Rattus norvegicus: one gene and its partners. The protein of the gene in region 6 purifies or fractionates together with the protein of the main gene of each other region. This does not show direct contact. Links are inferred from orthologs where the notes say so. Each region holds a gene or a part of one and is shown on either strand. Other genes may lie near its edges. The genes, in order: Sf3b3, Cherp, Sf3b6, Sf3a3, Snrpa1, Dhx15 and Gcfc2.

Region 1 (3,500 bases), on a different chromosome or scaffold from region 6:
CAAGTCAAACAGACACACAATTTAAAAGGAAAAAAAAAAAAAAAGGTTCAAGGGAGAAATGTAAAATAAAGAGATCACTAAAAGGAAAATAAAAACCCAGCAGCAACAACAACAACAACCCCCCCAAAACCCTAGCAGTTGTAGTGGGGGGGGGGGTGCACAAAACTCAGAAGTGAAAACCTGGCTCATTCATACAGTGCCCCCGGGTTTCCCTGGCTACGACTACTTGTCTTAGACTAGATATGGTTTCTACATGCTTGGTGCTAGTTGGTTTTTGCTGGCAAACAGTTTTTGGATGAGCTGGTGCTGAGGGAAAACTGAAAGCTGTGCGGTTGGGCTCAAATCAAGGCATCACGTAACACCCTATTGTGGGAGTTCAAGGACTAGAGAACAGTTAGTTCCACAGAGGGAACTGAATTCTGAGTAACCAGGCCACAAAAAAGCCTGTCAAAGGGAGAACAGGGCAAAGAACTTGGCTTGAAGTCCTGCAAAGGGGCTGGTTTATCCTTGTAGCTTTAGGGTCCAACCCACTTTACCTTTGTTTTTCCAAAAGGTCCTAGGAATCTAACCTGGAGCTTTGCGCATGCTGGTCACGAATAATACCACTGTGCTTTAAAACTAACAAAGGCAGCCAAGTGTGGTTGCGTACACCTTTAATCCCAACACTCCAGGGGTAGAGGCAGGCAAATCCCTGTAAAGTTCAAGGCCATTGTGGTCTACATAGTGGATAGCAAAATGTCTCAAAAAACAAAGACTATGGCTATTATGTGTGGCAGTGCACTTGGAAAGCTGGGAGCAGCAGGATCATTAAGAGTTCCTGGAGAGGGCTGGAGAGATGGCTCAGCGGTTAAGAGCACCCGACTGCTCTTCCAGAGGTCATGAGTTCAATTCCCAGCAACCACATGGTGGCTCACAACCATCTGTAAAGAGATCTGATGCCCCCTTCTGGTGTATCTGGAGACAGCTACAGTGTACTTATATATAATAAATAAAATAAATCTTTAAAAAAAAAAAGAGTTCCTGGAGAGCCAGGGTTATGGTCTGAGACCACTATCTCCAAAGCAGTGTGGATGTGGCAGGGAGAAGAGAATTAGACAAGTTTTAGATTTAAACTTTTCTAAACAACTTTATAGACAAGCCTTTTGAAACTACCCCTTTCAAGGTGAGAGTAATTACCTCAGCCATCTGCTGCTTTCTCTGAGCTTTTGTAGCCTCAGTGTAGGCATTGTGATCCGTCTCTATGATGATAAGGTTGTTACTCTCAGGGTGGATGACAAACTTCCTGGGTGTGTACTGCAAAGGAAAGGCCACTTGATTGAAGACAGCGCCAAGCTTCTCTAGTGCCAAAATCCTACGGCAATAAGCAAAGGAGTTAGAGAACACTGCTCGCTCAGCTTAGGAATCCATGAAATCAAGCATGATCAGGCACAGAAAACAGGAAACAACTGTCTATGCTTAAAGGACCACACACCAAAGGAAGGAGAGCCATGAAGAGTCCCTCTTCAGCAGCGCATCCCACTTCTACTGAACTTGCGCCTTCACTCCTGAACACAGCGAACTGTAGAACCTTATTGTTCTATAGCCAGTGTGACAATATGAAGTTCAGGGGCCATGGAGAAGGTTCAGTTGGTAGAGTCTTTGTATGGAACCATGATGACCCCAGTTACGGACCCTAAAACCCATTTAAAAGGAGGGTGCACTGGGTTCGGTCCCCAGCTCCGAAAAAAAAAAAAGGAGGGCGCAGCAGTCAGCAGGCCCTGTAATCCCTGTGCTAAGGAAAAGAGACAGGAGGATCTCTGGGGTTTGATGATAGTCAGTTTAGCTAATTCACAAACTATTTTCAGTGAGAGATCCTGCCTCAAAAAATAGGGATGAGTGTTTTATCTCTCCAGTTGGTTTCGTGAACCTGGGAGAGTAGGGCCTAAAAATGAGGCTAAACTCTCATTGAATAGCCAACTTGATTCTGAGCATCACCATTTTATACCCTGAAGCTTCAGAGTCACATGAGTATTTAATCACAAGGACAAGCCATACATGGCAAAAACCCAGAGAAACACGAATCACAACTCCAGTCAAACTCTGCCACACCTGGAAGGAACACAGTACATTCCTAGAACTCTGTGTTCTGAAGAAACTGAGGGCAGACTCTTTGTTTTCTTGGAGTTTTTTCACAAGCACCAGAATTTTCACGACTCTATTCTTGGACTGCATTAAAAAAAAAAACTTGGGGCTGGGGATTTGGCTCAGTGGTAGAGCGCTTACCTAGGAAGCGCAAGGCCCTGGGTTCGGTCCCCAGCTCCGAAAAAAAAAAAAAAAAAAAATTACTTATTTTATGTATACAAGTACACTGTCGCTGTCTTCAGACACACCAGTAGATGTGTTACAGATGGTTGTGAGCCACCATGTGGTTGCTGGGAATTGAACTTAGGTTCTCTAGAAGAGCAGTCAGTGCTCATAACCACTGAGCCATCTCTCCAGCTTTGGACTACAACTGATGAAGGCACATTTGAACATGTTGGAAACGCCCAATTCCACCTTTAACATCCACAGTTCAGTAACTACAACTTCAGTACGCTACAGTGGCCACTAAATGCGACACATTTCCACTGTCACAAGTTGGGTATTCTCGCTCTGTGCCGCACCACTTTATAAACAGTGCCTTCACCATTCCTATCCTCTATTCCACCCTCGTTCAGAGGCAGCCTCCCTCCATATATTGCCCCACAATAAGCCTCTCACATGAGGTTTTTTTTTTACATGGCCTGACTTTGTGGTGTGTGTTCTTTGGCCCCAATCCACCAAGGCACACTTCCTTCTGCCACAAAACCCTAACATTGGTGAAACCCTAATGTTGGTGTCATGTAACTTGGTTGGTAGGTTATCTTGGTGCCTTCATGTTTTCCCCTTGGGAATCTAAGCCGCATTAAGGCCCTATCCCTTATCTCTCTGGTCTACCTGCAACAGACTAACTTTCCAGCCCACTGGGCGCCCCACCCTACAGTAACAATTGATAAACTGAAGCTTTGGTCCGTGTAAACACTCCCTAGATCCAAGGATGACTGTTGGGCACTGGGTGGCCCTCTGGTATTCGTGAAGACAGAGCTACCTCAAGCTAGTCTTTAAGCCTACAGTTGAGCCTCTTTGGTGACCATACTTCTGATCCTTTTCCTTGTGTGAGGCTTCATTTTTGAGCAGTAGACTCTGGCAAATACCCCACAACACAACAGTAATCATATTTCTATTTCACTCTTTCAAAAACTGCCTTTAAAAGAAAAAAGAAAACCTGCATTCACACAAAAAATTAAGATAAACATTTACACATTTACTAATAGTCAAAAAGTTTATGTGACTGATTCTAACAGTAAGTACTAGAATGTTCAGTGGCCTTCCAAGCGAGCAACTGAAATTTGATCTTGAAGCCAACCAGCATTGGCTACCTAGGAAGATTCTATCATAAAAAATAAGTAACGGGGGGTTGGGGATTTAGCTCAGCGGTAGAG
Region 2 (3,553 bases), on a different chromosome or scaffold from region 6:
CGGCTCCACACGGATGTGGACACTGGCAGGAACGGGTCCTGTGCCCTTCCAGACAGTGTGGCAGCTGCCTCTCTTAGGACTCTGACTGGAGTTTGGTCTCCTGGGGATTGAGGTCAGGTCATTAGGCCTAGTAGGGAGCCATCTTATAGGCCCCACATTATTTCTGGTGGGTCTTGGCTGGCTCAGAACTTTCCATCCCCTGGGCTCAGCCTTCCAAGTGCTGGGATCCCAGTGTGTGCAGCTTCTAAAACCAGTTCACCATGAGATATTTAACGTGGCATCTCCAGCCTCTTACCCTAGACTGCCCTCTTTCCAGTCTGACCATGTTATCTGTTATCTGTACCCAGTGTGGCTTTTCACCCCAGGACATCTTGAGTGTAGCACCATGGCCTTTCTTGGGCCACTGTGCGTGAGGGCACCCTGGAGCAGTATCTCCCAGTTTCCTGTGTGCATGCATCATGTTCTTTATGCTCTATGTCCTACAGTACATTAGGTGCCACAGGCCTGCACCCCTGACCATGGAGGCTGCCCTGCAGGAGGTGAGGAAGGAGCTTGAAGTCCACCTCGACATCAATGACAGCCATGTGGAGGCAAGCAAGGCTGCAGCTCTCCCCGCTGAGCCCATAGACGGACTCTAAGCTCCCATCTGCCCAGCTGGCTGCTGAGGACACAGCCGTGGACCCACCACAGGGCAGTGGTGCAGGATGGGGCCAGCCATGAGCCAGTGTGACAGACAGACAGCATGTGCCAGGCATATCAGTCATCCAGGACGGGACCAGCTGCCCCATGAGAACACGCCATGCAGGGGCTGAGCACCCTGGGGCACCTCACCCACAGCTGGAGGAAATCTTTTACAAAAGGCTTTATTGGAAGGCAAAACAGTAAAATCCACAATCAATTGTTAACAGCACAGGTGTATCTGCTTGTTTATCCTGAGTCAGACACATCTGAACATCATAGCTATGAGAAATCTAAAACAAAAATCAAGTGTCTTAAATGGTACTGAAAAGTTGTAGGACTCTGCATTTTATTGAAAAGAATGTTTCAAAAGTTTGTGTACAAACAATGGCACCAGGCTGCTCCTTAAACAACAGCACAGGAGGTGCTGGCTGGCTGGAGCCCAGCACTCCATGCTCTGCGCTGGTATTGGCTTCCCCAGGCAGAAGCCCCAAGCTGAGGTGCTGCACTAGGTGGAGGGGCTCCGGAGGCCATCTTCCCCTGACCCACCAGAACTTAGCCCAGTGTCAGAAGCTATGTCCAGGTAATAGAGGCAAACAGCTAACATTTATGGAAATGGATGGTAAAAATACAACTAAACGATGAACTGAGTCAGGCAGGAGTCAGATGATCCCTGCCTCAGGGGTCAGTACTTGTTTTTCCTAACACAAAACCAGGTGGAGCCTTCTGACCTCTGCAGCTCAGAGGCCAGGCTATTCTGGTTGCCACACTCAGTGCAAGGCAGCCTTCTCACTACTGGGCTCTAGGCTGTGCAGCACTATGGGTGGGACTTGGGCTCTGGGCTGGGGGGTGGTGTTGAGTTTTGCTATCTGGGCACTGCGAGTGGTATCTGCAGCACCTCCTCCAGGGCAAACGCAGGACAAGCCCTTCCACACTGTGAAGCTGAGGCCTGTGGTCAGTCTTCCTTCTCTTCCTTTCGCGCCCCAAACGTGGAAACTGTATGAGAACAGGGCTGTCACCCCCACCTTTCCCACAGAAAGCTAAGCCTGCCGTGCCCACCCACACCTATACTCACATTCATCTCGGGCCTTCATTCGAGCAATGAAGGAGTAGCTCTTATTGCGGCGGTAGTTCTCATATGGGTCATCCAGGGCCACGCCCACACCCTTGTACTGGTCCCATTTATCTCGGACATCACCACCCTTAATGGGGTCCTGGATGCCCTGCTCCTTTGCACCGAGGCCACCAGACCCGCTCCAGCCTTCAGAGAAGAAAAAACACACGAGGTGGGGTGTGACCATGTCCCCTGGGACATGAACCCCCAGCAGTATCCCAACATATGGTTAGGCAGGGAGCTGGCACTGGTCGGGTCTACTCACCCATCTTCACCAGCATCTGGTGGCCTTTATTCTCTTCTCCAAGCCTTGAGTCTGGTATGGGAGGTGCTGAGTTAGAACCCAGGCCGGCTGCAGAGCTGGAATGAAGAGACACTCTCTAAGCTTTAACCTCTACAACAGGCCCCTGAGCACTGAGAGCAGTCAGTCAGTTAAGCATTGAGGGAAAAGGCTGTGGGTTGGCCCAGTGGTGGGAGGGGTGCCACCCCACTCTTTAGCAACAGGGGTATATTTGACAACTTCCACACTTGTGGCTTACGGTGGGGTGGGGCTCCGGGACCTGGAGCGACGCCGCCTCCCAGGGGAGTATGACTTGGACCTGGACCTAGACCTGGAGCGTGAGCGGCTTCTGGAGGAACGTGACCGGCTGCGGCTTCTGTGGGGGCAACAGGACAATGGGGCATGGGCAGGAATAGTGCTCCCGGGTTTTCTGAGGTTCCCCATGTGCCTACCTGGACCTGGAGCGGGAGGAAGAGCGGGACCGAGACCGGGATCGTGAGCGGGAGGAGGACCTTGAGGACTTGGAGGATCGTGAGCTGGAGCGAGATGAGGAACGGCCTCGGCTCTTGGACCGGCTGTGTGACCTGGAGGGGCCACTGCAGGGAAATGCCACAGTGAGGACGGCAGTGAACAGCAACCACATGCCACAATGGCAGCCCCATGAAACGAGCACAGCTCACCTGTTCCTCTTCTCCTGGCCCTTGCGCCGCCGTGCCCGCATCTTAGCTCGAAAGAATTCATAGAGGCCATTCTGCTCCCAGCCCTCGCTGCATGACATGGTCCCCATGAGAGGCTTGCGTCAGCCCCCAAGGACCACAGTGGCCAGGAAGGGGGTCCCTTGCACTAGGAAGCTAACCAAGAGGTAGCTGGGGTTCTGCTGGGTCTCCAGCCCTCCCCCCAAATCCCAGGAGACCTCCTATCATGCCCATTGCTGTTCTTAGTGTCTGCTGTGGCAGGCTGGGCCGAGGCTGGATGCTACAAGGCCATCACTCCAGGCCCAATGCAGTGTGCAGAGGAAGAAGTCCTCATCTGCCGGACAGACTTAGTGGGTGGGGGCTCAGCCAGGCCTTGGGGCACCAACTTCCCTACCTGTTCCTTGGTCTGTCATGGGAGGGTGGGCTGTAGAAGGCTTCCACAGCTGCAAGTAGCCTCTCACTGGGAGGCATGGGGGGTGGCAGGCGGATGTCTTTGGGGTCCAGAGGCTTGTACTCATGGTCCTCCAGCTGTAGGAGAACATGGCTGTTGCCTGGGTCCTGAGGAGTCCTACTTGGCCACCCAGTGGAATTTAGCAAGGCAGGAACTCAGCGTGACAATACCAGTATGCCCCACTCCCATGTTCAACCTCCCGGGTCAGGGCCCAGTATCACCTTCACAAGGGGAGCCATTAACCCCGCTGGAAGATCGAAGTAGGGCACATTGGGGACCAGGCTGGGGTCATCATGGTTGATGTGAGGTGGGCCCTGTCGCCGCATGTGGGGGGG
Region 3 (3,271 bases), on a different chromosome or scaffold from region 6:
TTTAGATCCGCCTCCCACCTGAAGTAAATCGGATTTTGTATATAAGGAATTTGCCATACAAAATCACAGCAGAAGAAATGTATGATATATTTGGGAAATATGGACCTATTCGTCAAATCAGAGTGTAAGTCTTTCTGAGACTTAAAATGTCACTTAAAGGATATGGTTGCTTAATCTATAATCTCAGAATTGTAGCTGGCAGCAGGACTACACGTGTGGTATGTAATGATGTGTCTGTTTTGCAGTGGGACTACAAGACCCTTGAGTAAAAGTTCTTTCTAGTATCATGTAGTAGTGATAAAACTTCTAATCCTTAATGGAACCATTAAACTATACAGTACTTGTGCCATTGAAGGGTCCCTCAGAAGGGATTTCGAAAGCTTTACTGGAGAGTCACAAGGTTTCTCTTTAGGGAGGCACCGTTAGGAAGGTCCTGTTGGTTTGAACCCAGGGCGCTGCACATGCGAGGCAGGCATAACCCCAACCCCACTATATTTTTTATAAGTTTTCTGAAGTAAGTGTAGTAGGACAGGCCTATAATCTCATTTTGTGTGGTGGAGGCAAGAGTTGAAGGTGATTCTCATCTATAGAGCCTGGATTTCTTATAAGACTGTGTCTCAAATCAAGTCAAAGGTTTTCTTTTTATAACCTCAGAGCCCCCTTCCTGGCTTTTAGGACTGTGGGAGCCCAAGGCCTTTGCTTTCACATGACCACCATCTCTCCTGGGAGTAAACTGCTTCCTGGTTATATATCATCACTTGTGACACATTCCCATTAGTAGACAAATGAAGATGAAACATAAAACAGGCACTCTCTTTTGAAGGTCTCAGTCCTTTGAGCAACTGCTAAGGGCTTTGTACTCCCTACCTAATACAGTTTGTCCATATTTTGAGGGATGCAAGAACTCCAGGTCCTTCGAAGAACAAAGAATGTGTGTAGATTGTCTCTGGTTTGGGAGCCAGGGAACAAAGGTTTGCCATTAATGCCTGTAACTAGCCATGTGACAAGTGACCAGACTTGTTGGGTTTTTCTTTCTTCTGTAAGATAACTTGGGTGGTGGCCCTTTGGTTCTCAATGTGGAGGCAGTGTGATAATCGACTGGATTGGTTGTTAGGCCTGAGTTCAGATACTAACAGAGTCTTTCAAGTTAGGTGAGACTGGGCAGACTGTTTCATCTGTTTGGGCTTCAGTTCTCTATGAGACACTTAGCTTGGATCAGGTTGCACAGTCTGAACATACACCACTCTCCATAAAGCCACTGAACCTCTGTCAGTCCCTTAGTTACTTAGTTACTGCTAAGGCTAGCTATTTATTTATTTATTATGAATACAGTGTTCTCCCTGCATGTATGCCTGCATGCCAGAAGAGGGCACCAGATCTCATTACGGATGGTCGTGAGCCACCATGTGGTTGCTGGGAATTGAACTCAGGACCTCTGGAAGAGCAGTCAGTGTTCTCAACCTCTATCTAGTTAAGAGCCATCTAGTTAATACATGATCATGTTAGTGCCCATGAGCTCACCTGCCTTTCTTGGCAGAGGTGACTGCCTGCGAGTTTCGTGTTGGTAGTGGTTCATGATTGATGCACAGTAACCACCCACATACATAAGCAACTGAGTAGGGCTGGAGATGCAGCTTAGTAGTTGAGTGTGCAAGGCCTTGAGTTCAGTCCGCTGTGCTGTAAATGAATATAACCGTAGCATGGCTGTGATTAATTTCTGAAGGCATTATGAAGCTTACTCATAGCACTCACAAGAGATGCTTAAGTTGAAGGTAGAGAATGATACCAGAACCCCAACTTAAGAACCAGCACATAGAACACAGCTGTAGTCAGAGCCACACTGGAAACAGAGGCAGAAAGACCGCAAGTCTGAGACCAATCTGGGCAGTATAGTGTGGTAAATTAAACACAGCAGGGGCTACAGCTTGGTAATAGAGTGCAGTCAAAGCTTGAGCAAAGCCACAGTAGCTCAGGGCCTCGGCTTCCAAGGTCTTTCAGGCTGCCCAGCACAGCTGCTCTTACCCGGCTCCTTCTCAGCCTATTCTCAGCTTTGGGGAGGACTTTTCAGAGAGTTTTCCCTACGCCCCAGTTAAAGTAGCTCTCCTCACTACTCTGTCACAGCTCTCCTTTCCTCATGTGGCTCCATATGATCTGGGATTCACACTTTTTATGTAATGTCTTGTTTGACAGGAGGAAGGGGTGATGCCTACCTTTCACTGTTAGTTCTGCTGCCCATCCTAATGCAATGTGATTGTTGAATAGTCATAGAATTTTGAGGCCCAAGAACCTGGATCTTAACTGCAGAATGAGAAACAACAGATCTGTTCCCTCCCTGTGATCAACCTCTGTTACTTACTAGATGCCAGTACTGATTTTGTTTTTTTTTTTTTTAGAGAGGTTTTTCTGTATCCCTGGCTGTTCTAACTCACTCTTTAGACCAGGCTGGCTTTGAACTCAGAGACTGGCTTGCCTCTGCCTCCTGAGTGCTTGGGCCACCACCACTCAGCTAGTACTGATTTTCTAGAATGGAACTTGGTAAAACCTAGCCAGGCTTCTTCACACACCAGGACAATTAATCACTCAACTGATCAGCCTGACATGCAGGAGACACTTGGTACTTTGTGTTCTTTACAGCCTTCAATAGTGTTGCCTTTTCTATTAAAGTCTTGCATAGGGGTTGGAAAGATGGTTGTGGTTAAGAGTGCTTCCTGCTCTTCCAGAGGACCCAAGTTCTGTTCCCAACACCCACATTGGGTGGCTCACAACTGCCTGTAACTCTGGTTCCAGTTGGATCCTACATCACGTCTGGCCTCCAAGGGCACCTGCTCTACATATAAACACCTCCGCACACAGCATGCACATTTGTCTGTTTGAGAGTGTTTATTCAGATAGCAGTGGCTGTCCTGGTGTGTAGACCAGGCTAGCCTTGAACTCAGAGATCTGCCTGCGTCTGCCTGCTGAGTACTAGGATTAAAGGTGTGCAACACTACTGCCCAACATATAAGTCATTTTTAAAAACATATAATATAGGACAAATATCACCGAGATCAGTATATGATGTAAAGTAGCTGAAGCTAGAAAGGCCAGATTGTGAATGAGGTTTTTAATTCCTGTTTACTACCAGTCAGGAAAACGTTACGCTCAGTGCGCAGTACATGACACATTCCAAATACATGCTTTTAAAATTCAGATTATAGTGTAGAGTTCAAGGTGTGAGGTTGAAGTGAGAGCTAGGACCCCTGAAATGGAGAATGTATAAAGTCAGGATAAG
Region 4 (3,500 bases), on a different chromosome or scaffold from region 6:
GGTGAGGCATAGAGAAAAAGCAAAACAAAGACAGATCACATCAGTACAGGACATGAAGGGACAGTTCCTCTAACTCTTGCTGCCCTTCACTTCCAAAAGGAAGGTTTTGGTTGTAAAATAAGGCTAAGTTGGCTTGGCAAGATGATTCAGTTGATGACCTGAGTTGAAGCCTCAGAACCCATGTAAAAGCCACCCTCCTTGCAACCTCAGCACTCCTACAGCACCACAGGAGACAGAGACAGAGAACTGTCTGGAAGGTCATGGGCATACTAGCCTGCAGCATCACGTGCAGCAGAAACAGGGAGATAGCACTTCAAACCAAGCAGGAAGGTATGAAGGGCACTTCCTGAGACCCTACAAGAGGAGACTGTCCATAGCCATCTTCGTACTGGCCCTCCTCTAGCCTTGCCAGGTTTCAGTCTCAACATGGGGCAAACTGTTGTGCCACAGTAAGTCACGTCTGAAGCACCGCTGAGTCACCTCTGGCTTGCCTTTTGAGTGCCTACTTCTTGGGTCACCCCCTGGTTTATGCTGAAGCTCAGCAAAGAGCTGCATTACTCTAGATCGGGCTGAACGAGGAGACAGGCAGGGTCTACTGTCTATGTCTGACCTTATGAGAATTGGGCAGCCTTGGGAATATCACCTAACGATACAACAGGAGTCCAAAAGAAGGGCCAAGGACTTCAAGAGAACCATACTTTGAGGTGAACTAAGTTACTGCCCACCCCACTTCCTTATGTGAACTTAAAAAAAAAAAAAAAATCCGGGGCTGGGGATTTAGCTCAGTGGTAGAGCGCTTACCTAGGAAGCGCAAGGCCCTGGGTTCGGTCCCCAGCTCCGAAAAAAAGAACCCAAAAAAAAAAAAAAAAAAAAAAAAAAAAATCCTTCCTATGCACGGCTCTAGAAGATCGCACTTACCCCAAGAATCTCCACATATTCATAGATCTGGGCTTCCAGGAAAGCAATGTCTTTGTTCCTCTCAGTGTCTCTGAGAACAAGAACAAGCTGTATCAATTAAGGGTTCTTTGTATCGAAAGCTTTATTCCCTGTCAGGAACACGGTCTCTGTGACAGAATTACACAATCTCAAGCATGTGAGCAGGCCACACGAGGCAGCCTCCCTGCTCAAATCCTGAGGGCAGTTCTTAGAAGCTAGGGAGTCTCATCTTGACTTTGTGTGTACAGTGAATGGCCTGTGAGACCACTTCAACTGTATGGCACCACTGTGATTTACAAAGGAATGCAATATATAAGAAGCCCTGAAAGCAAGTAACGATACAAAGTCCTAATTCCGCTGCTTTGCAACTGCAAGGAAGGTCACATTTAGCAACTTTCCCAAGTCCTTGCAAAAATCAGATTAACAACCACTTTCCAGGATTGGTATAACATATTAGGGAGAAAAAAAAAAAAAGGCCAAATCAAAAAACAATACCCTGTATACATATGCAGCTCATAAATATACCCAGCTGTCACTAATAAAATTAAAGTATTAAAAAAATCTATTTTGAGACAAAGTCTAACTCAGGGAGCCCTTAAAACATTGCTCCTAGATCAGTGCCTTATCCAGTCATCACTGGAGCAGCTTTCTCCCAGCAGATAGGAACAGACACAGAGCCTACAGCAGACACTCTGTGGAGAGAGGGTCTAAATGGGAGGTCTCTAACAAATCCCTCCCCTGAGCTCAGGGAAGAAGAGCAGGGAGGTAAGAGACAGAGGAGAGAGGCCAGCAGGAGAGCACGGGCTCTCCACATCGACAAAGGGAGACATAAGAGTTCAGAGACTGAAGCACAGAGCCTACACGGGGCTGCACTAGGTCCTCTGTGTATATATTATGGCTTTTAGCTCAAGTGTTTTTATGGGACTCCTGACTGTGACTAGGATGGATCTTTGAGTCTTCTGGCTGCCCCTGAGACTTTTCCTTCTGTTGGGTTGCCATGCCTAACTTTGATATGATAGTTTTTTCTTCACCTTATCATATTTTATTTTGTCACGTTTGGCTGTTCTCTCTTAAAAGCCTATTCTTTCCTAATAACAGATAGAAAGGGAGTGGAACTGAAGGGAAGGAGAGGGGAGGAGAGGGAAGGGGGAGGAACGAGAAGGGATAGAAGGAGGGCAAACTATAATCAGGATAAATTGTAGGAGACAATAATCTACCTTCAATAAAAGAAAAAAATCTACTTTCAAAAAAATAAATAAATAAAAGAAAGAAAGAAAGAAAGAAAGAAAGAAAAAAAAAAGAAAAAGAAAAATTGTGCGATCCTTAGCTGGGTTTAATGGTGCTCTTCCTTAATCCCAGCACTGGGGAGACAGAGGCAACTGGATGTCTGTGAGTTTGAAGCCAGACTGGTCTACATAGTGAGTTCTAGTACAGCCAGAGCTACACAGTGAGACCCTGTTTCAAAAAAAAAAAAAAAAAAAAAAAAAAAGGAAAACCAACCAACCAACCAACCAGGCCTGGTGGCACATGCCTGCAAGAGCAACCTTCTGAGACAGAGATGCCATGGGGGAAGCTGAAGGTCGTGCCCAGATACGAGCAAGTTTGAGGCCAATCCGAGTTATGGGAGAGCCTGACTTAGAGGGGAAAAGCAAAGCAAAAGGAGAAGTAGAAAGCAGGCTCCATAGGACAGAAATGTAAAAACCAGAGTGGAGATGTGAACCAGCTACTCACCTCTTTGTGCCCTTTGACTTGGGATTTTTGGCAAACAGAGAGGTGTCGAGCGACTCCAAGGACTTTCCTTTGGTGCTGAAGAGTCTCTGAGCTCGTTCTTCTAGGGTCCTAAGGAGGTAAGAGGTACATACTACACAGATGGTCTTTTTTCTTTTTAAAAGAAACTCATTATTAAGGACCAGGCTGGTCTCGGACTCACACACAGACACTTGCCTGCCCTCTCAGTGCTGGGGTTAAAGGCATTCACCATCATACACTGTACAAAATGATTTTTGCAGTGTGTGTTAATCAAACAACAAAATCACAGCCTCTTAGAGGATCATCCAAACACACAGCCAGTAGGGTTTTTGATAGCAAAACCAGGTTCTTACCCACCACACTTCAGGCCTAAAGCCAACAGTGCAGATTTCAATCTGTCCAGACCCAGGGATGCCAACTCCTAGAAAGAGAAATCGGTTACAACACAACATGACTAGCTTTTTCCCCAGGCAGGACTACATTCTACAGTCAGCCTCCTACCTTTCAGTCCCCAAAGACTGACTACTGCCATGTCCAGAGTCAGCCACCATGGGAAGGGAGTGTTCAGTGGCTCTCCATAGGGAGGCCACTCATAGAAGTATTTTTTGCAGAGACAGGAACTGAACTCGGAACCTCACACATGCTAGGCAAGTACCCCACCAACTGAACACTTGTCTCTAGCTCCTTGCTTTGTTTTAGAATAACTGATTTTGGGTTTGAGACAGATCTTACTCTAAAGCTAGCCTCAAACTCACAGCAATTCTCTTGCCTCAGTCTCCCTCTAACTTTCTAAACCCTATGACATCATATCATAG
Region 5 (3,565 bases), on a different chromosome or scaffold from region 6:
ATAAGAAGAGTGCTGGGATTCGCCTGCTGGCTGCAAGAGAGGCTCAGTGGGAGGCACTATTCTCAAGGCAACAAGGCAGAGCAGGGAAACTGAGGCACTGGTATTTAATAACAAAATCTTTCCTAGATAAGGAATACAGTAAGAAGCCCAGATGCCAAGGAAAATGTGCTTTAACCTGCCCCACGGAGAAACCATGACCTCTGTGCCTCTGTCCCACAGGCTGGAAGATTATTTTTGCTCATGCTATAGCACCAACAAGCAAATGTCTCATTTCCTATTTAAAAATTTTCAAATCATTTTAAATTGATTTGTGAGATGCTCATGTATGTTGATTAAAAAGGTCACAGAATGCCTATGTGTTTAGTCCTGAAGGCTTCCTGCCTTTACCTTCAGGAAGAATCTAATATTTCAGGAGCAGGAGTAATGTCTATTCTGGAATACCAGCTCTCCAATTTCTCACTTAACCACCGCATACCTCACGGCAAACACAGGGCACACAGTTTGGCAGCACAGTAGGTTGCCTTTATTTACCATTTGTAGAAAATTGGCATTGCCATTTCAAGGTTTCTATTAAAAAATTATCAGCAGTAGTTCTGATCATTCAGCAAAGCTGCAGATTCCACGTTGCTGACACAAGCAAGGCTGTTACTCAATGCTCAAATGCAAGACATCCCACGAGCTTATCAGAGCACCTGCCAGAGCTCAGGACCCATTTGTGACTGTGCCGTCTTCCATCTCCTCTTCACCCTCATCACTCGGCCCTAAGAAAGAACCACGGAACACGTTACGTCCATTCTGTATTACCTACTCACTCTCATGCCACACACACTGATTAAAAAAATGAACATACATGAGCATGTGCATACGTACACACACACACACACACACACACACACACACACACACACACACACACACACACGACTGTCAACTGTGTTCCACAATTTGTGGCAGATTTCTACAGATTTCTGAGTTTGAAATCCAGCTTGGTAAATTCTAGAACAGCCAGGGCTATGTAGAGAGATCCTGTCTCTAACCACACACACACATGCACACGCGCGCACACACACCAAAAAGTTTTGCCATATTCAAATGTTTGGGGAAACTACTGGCAAGTCTGCCTATTATTTGGAAGCAAACAGCAGTTTTCCAGATGGATACACGTTACCACGCGTTGTTTGGCTATACCAGCAGTTTCTTACAGACAGCTCACAAAGTGAAGTTGAATTTTTCTTGGAATCCTTCCCATTCTCACCTCCAGCCCATTACTCTACCTTGCACTCTGAGTGCACCTTGTACCCACAGCAAGCACCTGAACACTTGTACGTCTTTCAAATGCTGACTTTCATGATTCATTAGCAGCCCCACTGACGTCCCCAGAAATGTTTGTAACATTAGACCCACAGACCTACATTTTCTTTAACTGTCTTTCTAGTAACGGTGAAGCCTGTGTGTCAGGGAAGTGCTCTACCAGATTTACATCCCCAGCCCAAGTTTTCCAAATTTTAATTTTTGCTTCAAATCTTCAGTTTTATCATTGGTCAGTGCTAGGGACTGAACTCAGGGACTTAAACATGGTTTTATTACTGAGCTCTATCTTCAGTACCACAGAAAAATCACTTTTATTTCTTCATGGAGGACCATGACAGAATGGTATATATTTAATGGGAGTGGAAGTAAGGAAGAAGAGAGCAAGTAGCATCCCTTGGCCTTGCTGAGGCACCAGCAGTTTTTAACCACTGAAGATGCTACTAAATGGAAAAAGCGAACATCTTGGAGTTACTACATAAATAATTTTACCTTGCCTGTCCCCAGGGGCCTAGAGACCACACAGTACCACAGTTCTTTTTTTTTTTTCCCGGAGCTGAGGACTGAACCCAGGGCCTTGTGCTTGCTAGGCAAGAGCTCTACCACTGAGCTAAATCCCCAACCCCTTCCACAGTTCTTAAAAATATCTCATACACTCTCCCTGAGGAGCGACTGACAATTGAAAGCTGCTGAAGTAGAAGAGCCATTTTCTTCAGCAGGGTACCCACTGTAACTTGCCCTTGCTCCAGCAAGCACCCTTACCTCATACTCATGCAAGCAATCTGACTAAATCTGACTAGGGTCACAAAAACTAAAAAGAACCAAAACAGCTCAAAGATAATGATCCTTGGGAAGCTGTCATGGTAGTCGTTCCAGGGATACTCATACTCAAATTTGTACTGTGTTTACTGTACTTGAATAGTGCATCTCTAGTGCTTGACATGCGGACACAAATTGGACATTTGAACAACAGACTTGTTAACACCTAGCAAACACAGCAGTCTTCCCGAAAACCTTTAATGACAGTACCTATCTGAAACTTAAAGATGAAGATATTTACCTTTAATGATGAAACTTGCCCAAGGACAGTACTGGTCAGGCTCTTCATAAGGCCTGTGCTGACCCACTAAACTACCATTTACAGCAACACCTTGCTTCCAGAGATTATGGTCTAAACTTTTCACCACTGGAGAGTTTGTTATTCTGTGAAGATGAACCTGACACTTACACACACCTAAATGGTAGAGGCTATTAACCCACCTGGTGAAGGCAATTGTTTTCCTAAACTATGCACATAGACAACATGTCACTGCTCTCAATAACACAGAGAACTGAATGCATCTGTACATATCTAAGCACAGAAAAAACACAGTAGAATACCAGGTGGAGGAATTCTGAAGCTGTTGCCCTGTGGAATCATTACTGTATATGCAGCGCGTCAGTCCACCAACATGTCCTTTATACAGCATGTGTCTCAGAAGTTCAGTCACCTCTAGAACCTAGTTCCGTCCATATGAAATGTTTTACTACAACTTGTAAAGACCCCATACATATCCCAGTGGCTTAAATTTCTTTATTGACCCTCCCTGCCTCCTGCCTTTGTTCTTCTTTTTCCTTTTCTTTCCCTTTTTTTGATAAAGGGTCTTGTATAGCCCAAGCTGGTCTCAAACTTGTTTTGTAGCCACAAATGACCTTCAACTTCTTACCCTCTTGGCTTAACCTCCCAAATACAGGGATTATGGGCCTAATCATCACGATAGTCAGCTAGTATTGTGTAATCACTCTAGTGTGACGTTTTGCAAGTTCAGACAGAAGAGTTTCCTCACCTGATCTGCGCTCTCTGCCAGGAATCTGGCCAGACTGCAGCAAGCCCTTCAGCCTCTCAACTTCAGCCAGTGTTGACGCGTTTGCTATGGCATTCTAGAAAACACAGGAAAGGGGAGATGGTGATGACCAGTACCCGGAAAGCACCACCGAAGGCCCAAGCACTTTCCCATAGAACATCAACCACACAGTTCTGGGTCAGGGAAGGATTTCACTGGCACATTACAAATCAACCTAGAAAACAGGCTGTCAATTTTCATATTTAGGAGGAGATTCAGGCTCTTGTAAAAGAGAAGTGATCATTTCATATGCCCTTAAAAAGCTAAGTCTGTCTGGAATCCTGTTACTGGAGACTTTAGGATTTTCTACCTACATTCCAACCAGGATTGTCAGCCAGCAAATCTTGGAAAGCAAAGAAACTAAGGCAATCTCC
Region 6 (4,028 bases):
AAATGCACCAGGCAAATACTGGTTACTACTGATGTTCCATTTAAATTGTACTTGGAATAATAACGGGCACTAATATACTGCGCTAAAAAGGATGGAAACTAGTCATCTACTTCAGATATTTTATATAAACACTACTAAGCATGGGCATTAATATGTATACATATCTATAGAAAAAAAACCCAAGAAAGCACTTAATATCAATGAGCAAGACAAGAGATATGCCTTATAACTGGAGTACTGCACAAATAGGCCCCAAATTCCAAGAGCTCAGATATTACATTTTGTATTTAAGAATAAGTATGGTCTCCAAAGATGGAAATAATGATTTGGAGTAACTTACTGCTCTTTTCTTTATACCTTAAAGTGTGAAAATTTCTTGCTCACTGCATCTTATTTAATTTCAGCTACCACAGGATTGTAGTGAAACACACTTCTACCTACAAAGAATCATAATTATTGAGTTTCGATCAGGAATACTAAGAACCATTAGAATAAAAATGTCCTCAGATTTTCCAGAGCTGGTGAGATGGTTCAGAGTGAAAAACTGAGTTGACCCCTGGGGCCAGCATGGTCAAGAGGAAGTATCTAATTCCATGTTTTCTTCTGCTTGCCACAAGCAGTGGTCATACACCCAAACACACAAAAGTGTGCTGGAATGGAGACAACAGGGTCTGGTGACAGCTGGGGTGACAAAATGAACAAGCCTATGCTGTCAAATACACTAAACAAGAGCAAAAAGGAAGGAAAAGAGGGAGGGAGGGAGGAGAGGAGGGACAGAATCCCTGGCAGTCAAAAGTGCCTTCAAACTAAGTGAGGAAGAGAAAATCAATAGATACCAAGCACAAATACTGTATAAACTCATTGCTAAAGAAAATCAGTTCTATAAGAAAAAGTACTCAAAACACTTACGAAACAGCAACAACTGCCCTCCAGAATCTCTAGAAATTAAGGAATTACTCTTCAACTGAACTCTCCTGTACTTACTGACAAATATTAAATACTCAGAGAAAACATGAAGCTACCATGATACACCCAAAGTCCATTTTACCAATGTTATACATTAGCAAGAGAAATCACCATGATCACTGTGATCAATGTGGAGCCACTAATCGAAATAAATGCACTGAGTAGTGAACACACACACACAAAAACACTGAAAAGAACTATCTCAGAGTGACCTCTAAGTGGGAAATTAGTTGCATCTTAGCCAAATGTGACAATCACTACACTTTATCAATCCAATAAGAATGGCATTATGACAGGTGGTAATGTTTAACTACAGTTTTATGTTTCATGTTGAGAAAAGGAGATTTCTAGATGCCACTGTAAAGTATGGAAAAGATCACTGTAATGTTGCTCTCCCTTGGAGAATAATCATGAGCTGTATTTCTACCTAAGAACTGACTGAGCTCAAATATGAACGCTTGGAATTTTTGCTTGCGGGAATAGCTAGCTGTCTTGGGATGTTGTATTATTACAATGCTTAGTATTACAAGCTTTAAAAAAAAAACTACAGAATCAAAACATAACAAACCTACTTTCCATATTCAATATTTCAATCTAAGGAGAGCATCAGAACACATCCTATCCTGACCTATACCTCCCATTGGTAGTTAGAAAGCAAGCCCAAAAGACTTAAAATCTCAAGAGACCACACATCTGACTTGACAGCTAGTGTCACAGGACGTAAGAAAATGATAAAAGCATACAACAGTTTTGGACATTCGGACTTCTGTGTTATATTTTTTTAACTAACCAAACAGATCTCTGTACTGCCAAAGTATAAACATACAGTTAATTAAAATGGAAGGGTAGGAATATAAGCTAAAGTACATTTTAAGTATGAACTGTCACAGAAAAGCTGGAAAATGATAATACAACTGCTTACATGCTAAATGCCCCGTCTTTGCAAAAGTCTAGGAAAAGGAACCAAACTGCCAGACCAAGAATCGGTGTAAGCATTCCTCAATCTGCACGTGGGTGTTGTTTGTTCAAACACGCTTAAGATCACTTTTTGAAAAGTGCGTCCAAAGTCGGGAGGAGATAGAAATAACTTACAGAGCGGAGGGAGATTACGTATTTTCACAGGCCTACCCCACTGATGCTTAGCAAGGCCGGTTTTTAAGCAAAGCAGGAAATAAAGGAGATGGCGGGAGGGCAAGCAGAGGGCGGAAGTTGGCAACGGCCTCTTCTGAAGTGCCTCAATGGAAGGAGGCCGTCCGTCTCCCGCCAAACAGTGCGCCCCGAGGTCGGCTGGTCTTTATCCCCAAGTAGACAGCTCCCGCCGCCGCCCGGGGCCGCTCAAGGGGCAGTGCCCTTGGCCACCCCATTCCGGACACTCTCCCCGGCTGCGGGCCTCACGCGAGCACCGAGGCCTCGCGGCCCGCTCCTCACGCCCGCCGCCCGCGGCCTCGTGGCCACCACAGGCCTCTCACCCTGACCGCACACACTCGGCCCGCGCCCCAGCCGGCCGATGGCAGACAAAGACTCGGCTGCCGGGCCTGCTCCCCGCCACAAGCCAACAAAGCCCGAGCCGCGACTGCGCACCCGGTCTGTCTTACCCATCGGTCCCCGCACGCTTCTTGCCGGAGGGGTAATCCTCCCCCAGGTCCAACCGATGCCTCTTGGACATCTTCGCACTCCCAGAGCGGACGCTTAGGAAGGAAGGAAGAAGAGAGACTCCAGCAGCCGGATCCACACAGAAGAGGCCCGCTGCTCAACTCGCAGGGACCCCCACCCCTCCCGCCACCACAGACCGCTCCGTGCGGCCCGAACCAGGAGCTAAAATGGCGGCCACGACGAGGGCAGGGCCTGCGCGCGCGCCGCCGCGGCGGGCGTGCCGGCGTGGTGCGCGCGCACGCCGCCCGGAGGCGGGAACTCCCGTCCCGCCCGATGTGCCATTGGCTGAATGGCTCTGCGCCCCGCGGGCTCCTCCCCTCTCCTCCTAGCTGTGAGCCGCTCTGAGCGATTGCGAAGGACGAAGATGAGCCTCAAGCTGTCACTTGCTGCCTGGAGTTCGTTCGGAAAGTTGGAAAAGCCTAGTTCTAATTAGGAAATCTATCCAGCTGTGTATTTACTTTTGTTTTTAGGGTCTGAAGCTCAGGAAGGCTTAAGGAAACAAGATCACACAGCTGGTAAGTGGCAGAGCAGGGCACAATTATTTTATAACTCCAGAACAGGAATTTGCAGTTGTTGCGCCAGATTCCCAGCCGCGGTGAGAAACATGTTAATTTACTGTGACTCGTTTTGTCCACTTACCCCAGAACAGTATTTATTCAATCTATAGGTGTTTTGGATAGGGTTCAGAAAATTGGAGGAATTCGTACTGGACACCTTATTTTTTCTCCAATCCTCTGCCCTAGTCTCTCTCCGTTTGTGTATATATGAGTACATATTAGGCACTTGGAGATGTTAACCCTATCTCTGTCCTCGTTTGGTTTGGTTTGGTTTGGTTTGGTTTGGTTTGGTTTGGTTTTCTAAGACAGGGTTTCTCTGTGTAGTTCTGGCTGTCCTCAAACATGCTCTGTAGAAGAGGCTAGCCTGGAATTCAGAGATCAGGTGCTGTCTCTGCCTCCCAGTGCTGGGATTAAAGACATGCCCTAGCATGCCTAGTTGCTGTGCTCCTTAGTAGAGTGAACCCTGAAAGACATTTTATAGACATAATCACCTAGACTGAAGGAAATCAACAAATAGCGCATCCATTAAAACTCCACTGTAATGGCAAGTTGTTGAGGGAAGGTGACACTTAAGAGGTTGTGTATCTTTCTCCCTTCAGCCTATGTGCTTGCTCAATTGCATTTATTTCCAGAAGTGTGGGGGGAAAGAATTCTAATGATCAGCCCAAACACAGAGTATCACTTCATGTCAAGATTCTCCTTGACTGCTCCTTGGCTCTAGTCCCTCAAAAATTCTCAAAAGATTAAATACAACAGAAACATGGCAGATGACAGCTTCTATTTTTGTATCATCCATCAGTACAAATTCAAATGAATATCTTTTTGTTACTTTCACAATACCCAATACAACCT
Region 7 (3,165 bases), on a different chromosome or scaffold from region 6:
AAACAGCAAAAAAGCCTCACTTGCTACCAGCTGATAACTTTGTTACCAAAAAAATCTTACACAAAATTTAAAGAAAAGTGGTCAGTTTTCTGAAAAGCTACTTGTCAGAACATAGGCAAAAGATCAGTATTCCTGTAGAAAAAGATGGACACTTCAAAAAGAATTATAGGTGACCCAAACCGACACATCTTCATTCTTCAACGGGCTGGAGAACAGCACAGTGGTTAAGATCCCTTCTGAGGACCTGGGTTTGGTTCCCAGCACATCAGGTGGCCCACAACCTCCTGGAATCCAGTTCTAGGAGATCTAATGCCTTCTGGCCCCTACATGGACGCAGTGCTAAACCCAGGAACATACATAAGCAAACATATAAAAATATACCTTCTTTTCAAAAATTTTTTTCTTAATAAATTGTCAATGAATTAAAATCTGGAGACTCACTCGCGCTCTCTTAACCTAAGTTCATCAATCAATCAGTACAGATTTTGAAAGGATAATTTGTATAAAAATGTATTAACCATTTAATATTAATAAGCAATTTCTTACACTTCAGAATGAGACCCAGTCTCCACAAAAGAATAAGACAAAAGAAATCAAGAGATAGAAAGTTTTTCCCTCATTAGCTGATTTGTAAACAGTTGGAGTCTGTTGAAGGTGGTTTTGACGCGGGGCATGCTTCTGTGTGTCAGATTTCCTCATCATCTTCTCAGACTGAGAGAGAATAAAAGAGAAGCACACTGAGCGCCAGCCGCCTCATGCATGTACTTCCCTCAGACACACAGCAGCAGGAAGCTTTCCACACAGCCACGGTGGGCACAGCGGACAGGAGGCGTCATCTATATACAGGAAAGGCGCTGTCCACTCTCATCATGGACCTCTGTACAGCACGCTCACACACCTGCCGTCTGGGCTGTGAGGGGCTCCAGGCGATGCTCCTCTGTGAGGGATTCAGCTTGACTCAGAGCCTTTACCTTCACCAGGATAAGAATTATTCCATTGAGTTCATTCCTGAAAACAGCCAAAAAGCATTTACTCACCCCTTATGCAGTCCAGGCTGGAGGCACATGAGAGACACAAAGTCTTTAGCGGGCAGGGGGCCCTAAATCTGATCCTTAGCACAAAACGAGATGGAATAAAATGAAAGGAAAGCGATAATAACAGTACTATAACAGCTCAGAAGGGAGTAACAATGGTGACTGAGGACCCAAGCCAGTATCTAGAGCTGCATACAATACAGAGACGCTATCCCTTCTGTACCTCATCACACGCAGTGATGCTTCAGTTAAAGGCAAGGTGTTGGTTAGTCCCTAGCATGCCGCCATGAAACACATTACCTGCTGTTATGCGCTGGTCGGAACAAATGTGCTGACAGCTCTATAAAAGCACAGCATATGAGCTGTCCACAGTACTGGACACTGTGACCACATTGTGTATTTTTGTATTAGCTACATATACATGTGCATTACAGTCTATCGGTAGCAGCCTGCGTCACCCATTTCTATACGCACACTGCAGTACTGGCCAGACATAAACTGCCAATGATGTAGTTCTCAGAATGACCACAGTTTCATACACCTCACGATTGCAACTGCAAAGTCCAATACGCAATATTTTGGAAAATTTGTATGCGATGGCAACACAAAGCAGAACACAGAGCAAGCCCGTCATCAGGGTCTCCACAGTACTGTGCTGTCAGCGTCAATGCCACTGTGTTGGTAGCTAACGGGAACAGTCGACTTCCTCAGCACGACAGAAGGATGGATTCCGCACGTGCCACAGTGCCTGTTTCTGAGTACTTGGATTGAGCCCAGGGCCTTTTGTTGCTAGGCAAATACTCTGCCAGACTGGTTATATCCCAAGACCCAGATTTAAAAAATTATAATATAAGTGCAAAACTTGCTCAAAATTGTTAACAACATTAAAAATCCTCGCACAATGCTTTGGAGGTGAAAAACTGAGCATTACCTGAATTCAGTTGTGGATAATTTGCGTGCAGACTGCAACAAAAACTGAACGAAGTTTTCTAGCTGGGGAAGTGATGTCCTCATAGCAGAGTTCTCAAACCATTTGTCTGGCAGACATGCTGCTATCTGTCAGTCAAGACACACGACAGGATTACAAGATAAGAGCAAAGAAAGTTTGAGATTTCTTTTTCCTGTGTCAAAGGTAACATGGCATTAAAAAGATCACTCTTCAGGGGCTGGAGAGATGGCTCAGTGGTTACCAGCAATGGCTGCTCTTCCAGAGGACCCAGGTTCAATTCCCATAACCCACAATGACAGCTCACAGACATATGCAACTCCAGTTCCAGGAGATCTGGTGTCCCCTTCTGGCCTCCTCAGGCATTACATTCACACAGTACAGACACACACAGAAGCACGACACCCATACATATAGAATAACAAGAGTAAAAAAAAAAAAAAAAAAAAAGCTCAAAGCCACCTGATTAGCAATCATTCTTCATTGCTAGAGGCATAAATATGCAGACGGCATCTGCTCTGCACTTTCTAGCAATGTTTATATTCCACAGTCTTCAGACATTGGAGAGGAGGAAAGGACAGGTGATTCTAAGTCTTTTATCCAATGTGCTATCCATGCCCATGGTTGCCAAACAGATCAATACAACGCATGCAACTGTTTCAAGAAGACAAAGACGAAAAAATCCTTCTTCAAAAATAACACGGAAGATTAGAGAAGAGTTTGGGGAAAGTCAGAAAAATGTTGAAGACAAGTAACTTCCTCTTAGCAACAGGAAGGAAAAGGAGAGAACTCAATGAGGAGAGGAAAACTTGGATGGCCACAAGATGAGGATCTGAGACCAGAAAGGAGAAAGCCAAAACACCAAACATGCACAGTAAAGGAACACAGGGGCTGGAAATAAAGAAGTCCAGTGCCAGCCTTAAAAGCAGTTGTACAAAATGGCAGCAGAGGATGTAACCTGGGTATGGTGATAGGTGTCTAAGTCCAGCATCTGAGAGGCCTGGGGCAGAAAGGACTCTGAGTTCTAAATTAGCCAGCCTAGTCAGCAGACATAGCCTGCCTCAAGAGAGAGAGATAGATAGATAGATAGATAGATAGATAGATAGATAGATAGATGGATGGATGGATGGATGGATGGATGGATGGATGGATGGATGGATGGATAGACAGACAGACAGACAGACA

What was found.
Region 1: the proteins of Dhx15 (region 6) and Sf3b3 purify together in Homo sapiens (co-immunoprecipitation; 4 studies listed by BioGRID and IntAct, with this or other methods). This does not show direct contact. The link is inferred for Rattus norvegicus from reciprocal best matches to the Homo sapiens genes DHX15 and SF3B3.
Region 2: the proteins of Dhx15 (region 6) and Cherp purify together in Homo sapiens (co-immunoprecipitation; 3 studies listed by BioGRID and IntAct, with this or other methods). This does not show direct contact. The link is inferred for Rattus norvegicus from reciprocal best matches to the Homo sapiens genes DHX15 and CHERP.
Region 3: the proteins of Dhx15 (region 6) and Sf3b6 fractionate together in Homo sapiens (co-fractionation; 3 studies listed by BioGRID and IntAct, with this or other methods). This does not show direct contact. The link is inferred for Rattus norvegicus from reciprocal best matches to the Homo sapiens genes DHX15 and SF3B6.
Region 4: the proteins of Dhx15 (region 6) and Sf3a3 fractionate together in Homo sapiens (co-fractionation; 3 studies listed by BioGRID and IntAct, with this or other methods). This does not show direct contact. The link is inferred for Rattus norvegicus from reciprocal best matches to the Homo sapiens genes DHX15 and SF3A3.
Region 5: the proteins of Dhx15 (region 6) and Snrpa1 fractionate together in Homo sapiens (co-fractionation; 3 studies listed by BioGRID and IntAct, with this or other methods). This does not show direct contact. The link is inferred for Rattus norvegicus from reciprocal best matches to the Homo sapiens genes DHX15 and SNRPA1.
Region 7: the proteins of Dhx15 (region 6) and Gcfc2 purify together in Homo sapiens (co-immunoprecipitation; 3 studies listed by BioGRID and IntAct, with this or other methods). This does not show direct contact. The link is inferred for Rattus norvegicus from reciprocal best matches to the Homo sapiens genes DHX15 and GCFC2.

What each region holds. Positions count from the first base shown.
Region 1 is NC_086037.1:55,698,622-55,702,121, forward strand, and holds part of Sf3b3 (splicing factor 3B subunit 3), read right to left. Parts: intron 1,352-3,500; coding exon 1,177-1,351; intron 1-1,176. UniProt on the Homo sapiens protein: Component of the 17S U2 SnRNP complex of the spliceosome, a large ribonucleoprotein complex that removes introns from transcribed pre-mRNAs.
Region 2 is NC_086034.1:17,411,497-17,415,049, reverse strand, and holds the end of Cherp (calcium homeostasis endoplasmic reticulum protein), read right to left. Parts: coding exon 3,440-3,553; intron 3,296-3,439; coding exon 3,162-3,295; intron 2,840-3,161; coding exon 2,753-2,839; intron 2,669-2,752; coding exon 2,525-2,668; intron 2,449-2,524; coding exon 2,332-2,448; intron 2,153-2,331; coding exon 2,058-2,152; intron 1,940-2,057; coding exon 1,754-1,939; intron 1,675-1,753; coding exon 1,634-1,674; 3' UTR 639-1,633; downstream 1-638. Other genes in the region: C16h19orf44 (uncharacterized protein C19orf44 homolog), read left to right, coding at 486-638. UniProt on the Homo sapiens protein: Involved in calcium homeostasis, growth and proliferation.
Region 3 is NC_086024.1:33,548,495-33,551,765, forward strand, and holds part of Sf3b6 (splicing factor 3B subunit 6), read left to right. Parts: intron 1-5; coding exon 6-124; intron 125-3,088; exon of another isoform or gene 3,089-3,271.
Region 4 is NC_086023.1:142,262,407-142,265,906, reverse strand, and holds part of Sf3a3 (splicing factor 3A subunit 3), read right to left. Parts: intron 3,107-3,500; coding exon 3,039-3,106; intron 2,776-3,038; coding exon 2,668-2,775; intron 989-2,667; coding exon 919-988; intron 1-918. UniProt on the Homo sapiens protein: Component of the 17S U2 SnRNP complex of the spliceosome, a large ribonucleoprotein complex that removes introns from transcribed pre-mRNAs.
Region 5 is NC_086019.1:129,062,050-129,065,614, reverse strand, and holds the end of Snrpa1 (U2 small nuclear ribonucleoprotein A'), read right to left. Parts: intron 3,229-3,565; coding exon 3,135-3,228; intron 762-3,134; coding exon 703-761; 3' UTR 501-702; downstream 1-500. UniProt on the Homo sapiens protein: Involved in pre-mRNA splicing as component of the spliceosome. Associated with sn-RNP U2, where it contributes to the binding of stem loop IV of U2 snRNA.
Region 6 is NC_086032.1:62,998,670-63,002,697, reverse strand, and holds the start of Dhx15 (ATP-dependent RNA helicase DHX15), read right to left. Parts: upstream 2,801-4,028; 5' UTR 2,633-2,800; coding exon 2,562-2,632; intron 1-2,561.
Region 7 is NC_086022.1:116,073,660-116,076,824, reverse strand, and holds the end of Gcfc2 (intron Large complex component GCFC2), read right to left. Parts: intron 2,091-3,165; coding exon 1,966-2,090; intron 1,009-1,965; coding exon 891-1,008; 3' UTR 712-890; coding exon of another isoform or gene 707-711; 3' UTR 501-706; downstream 1-500.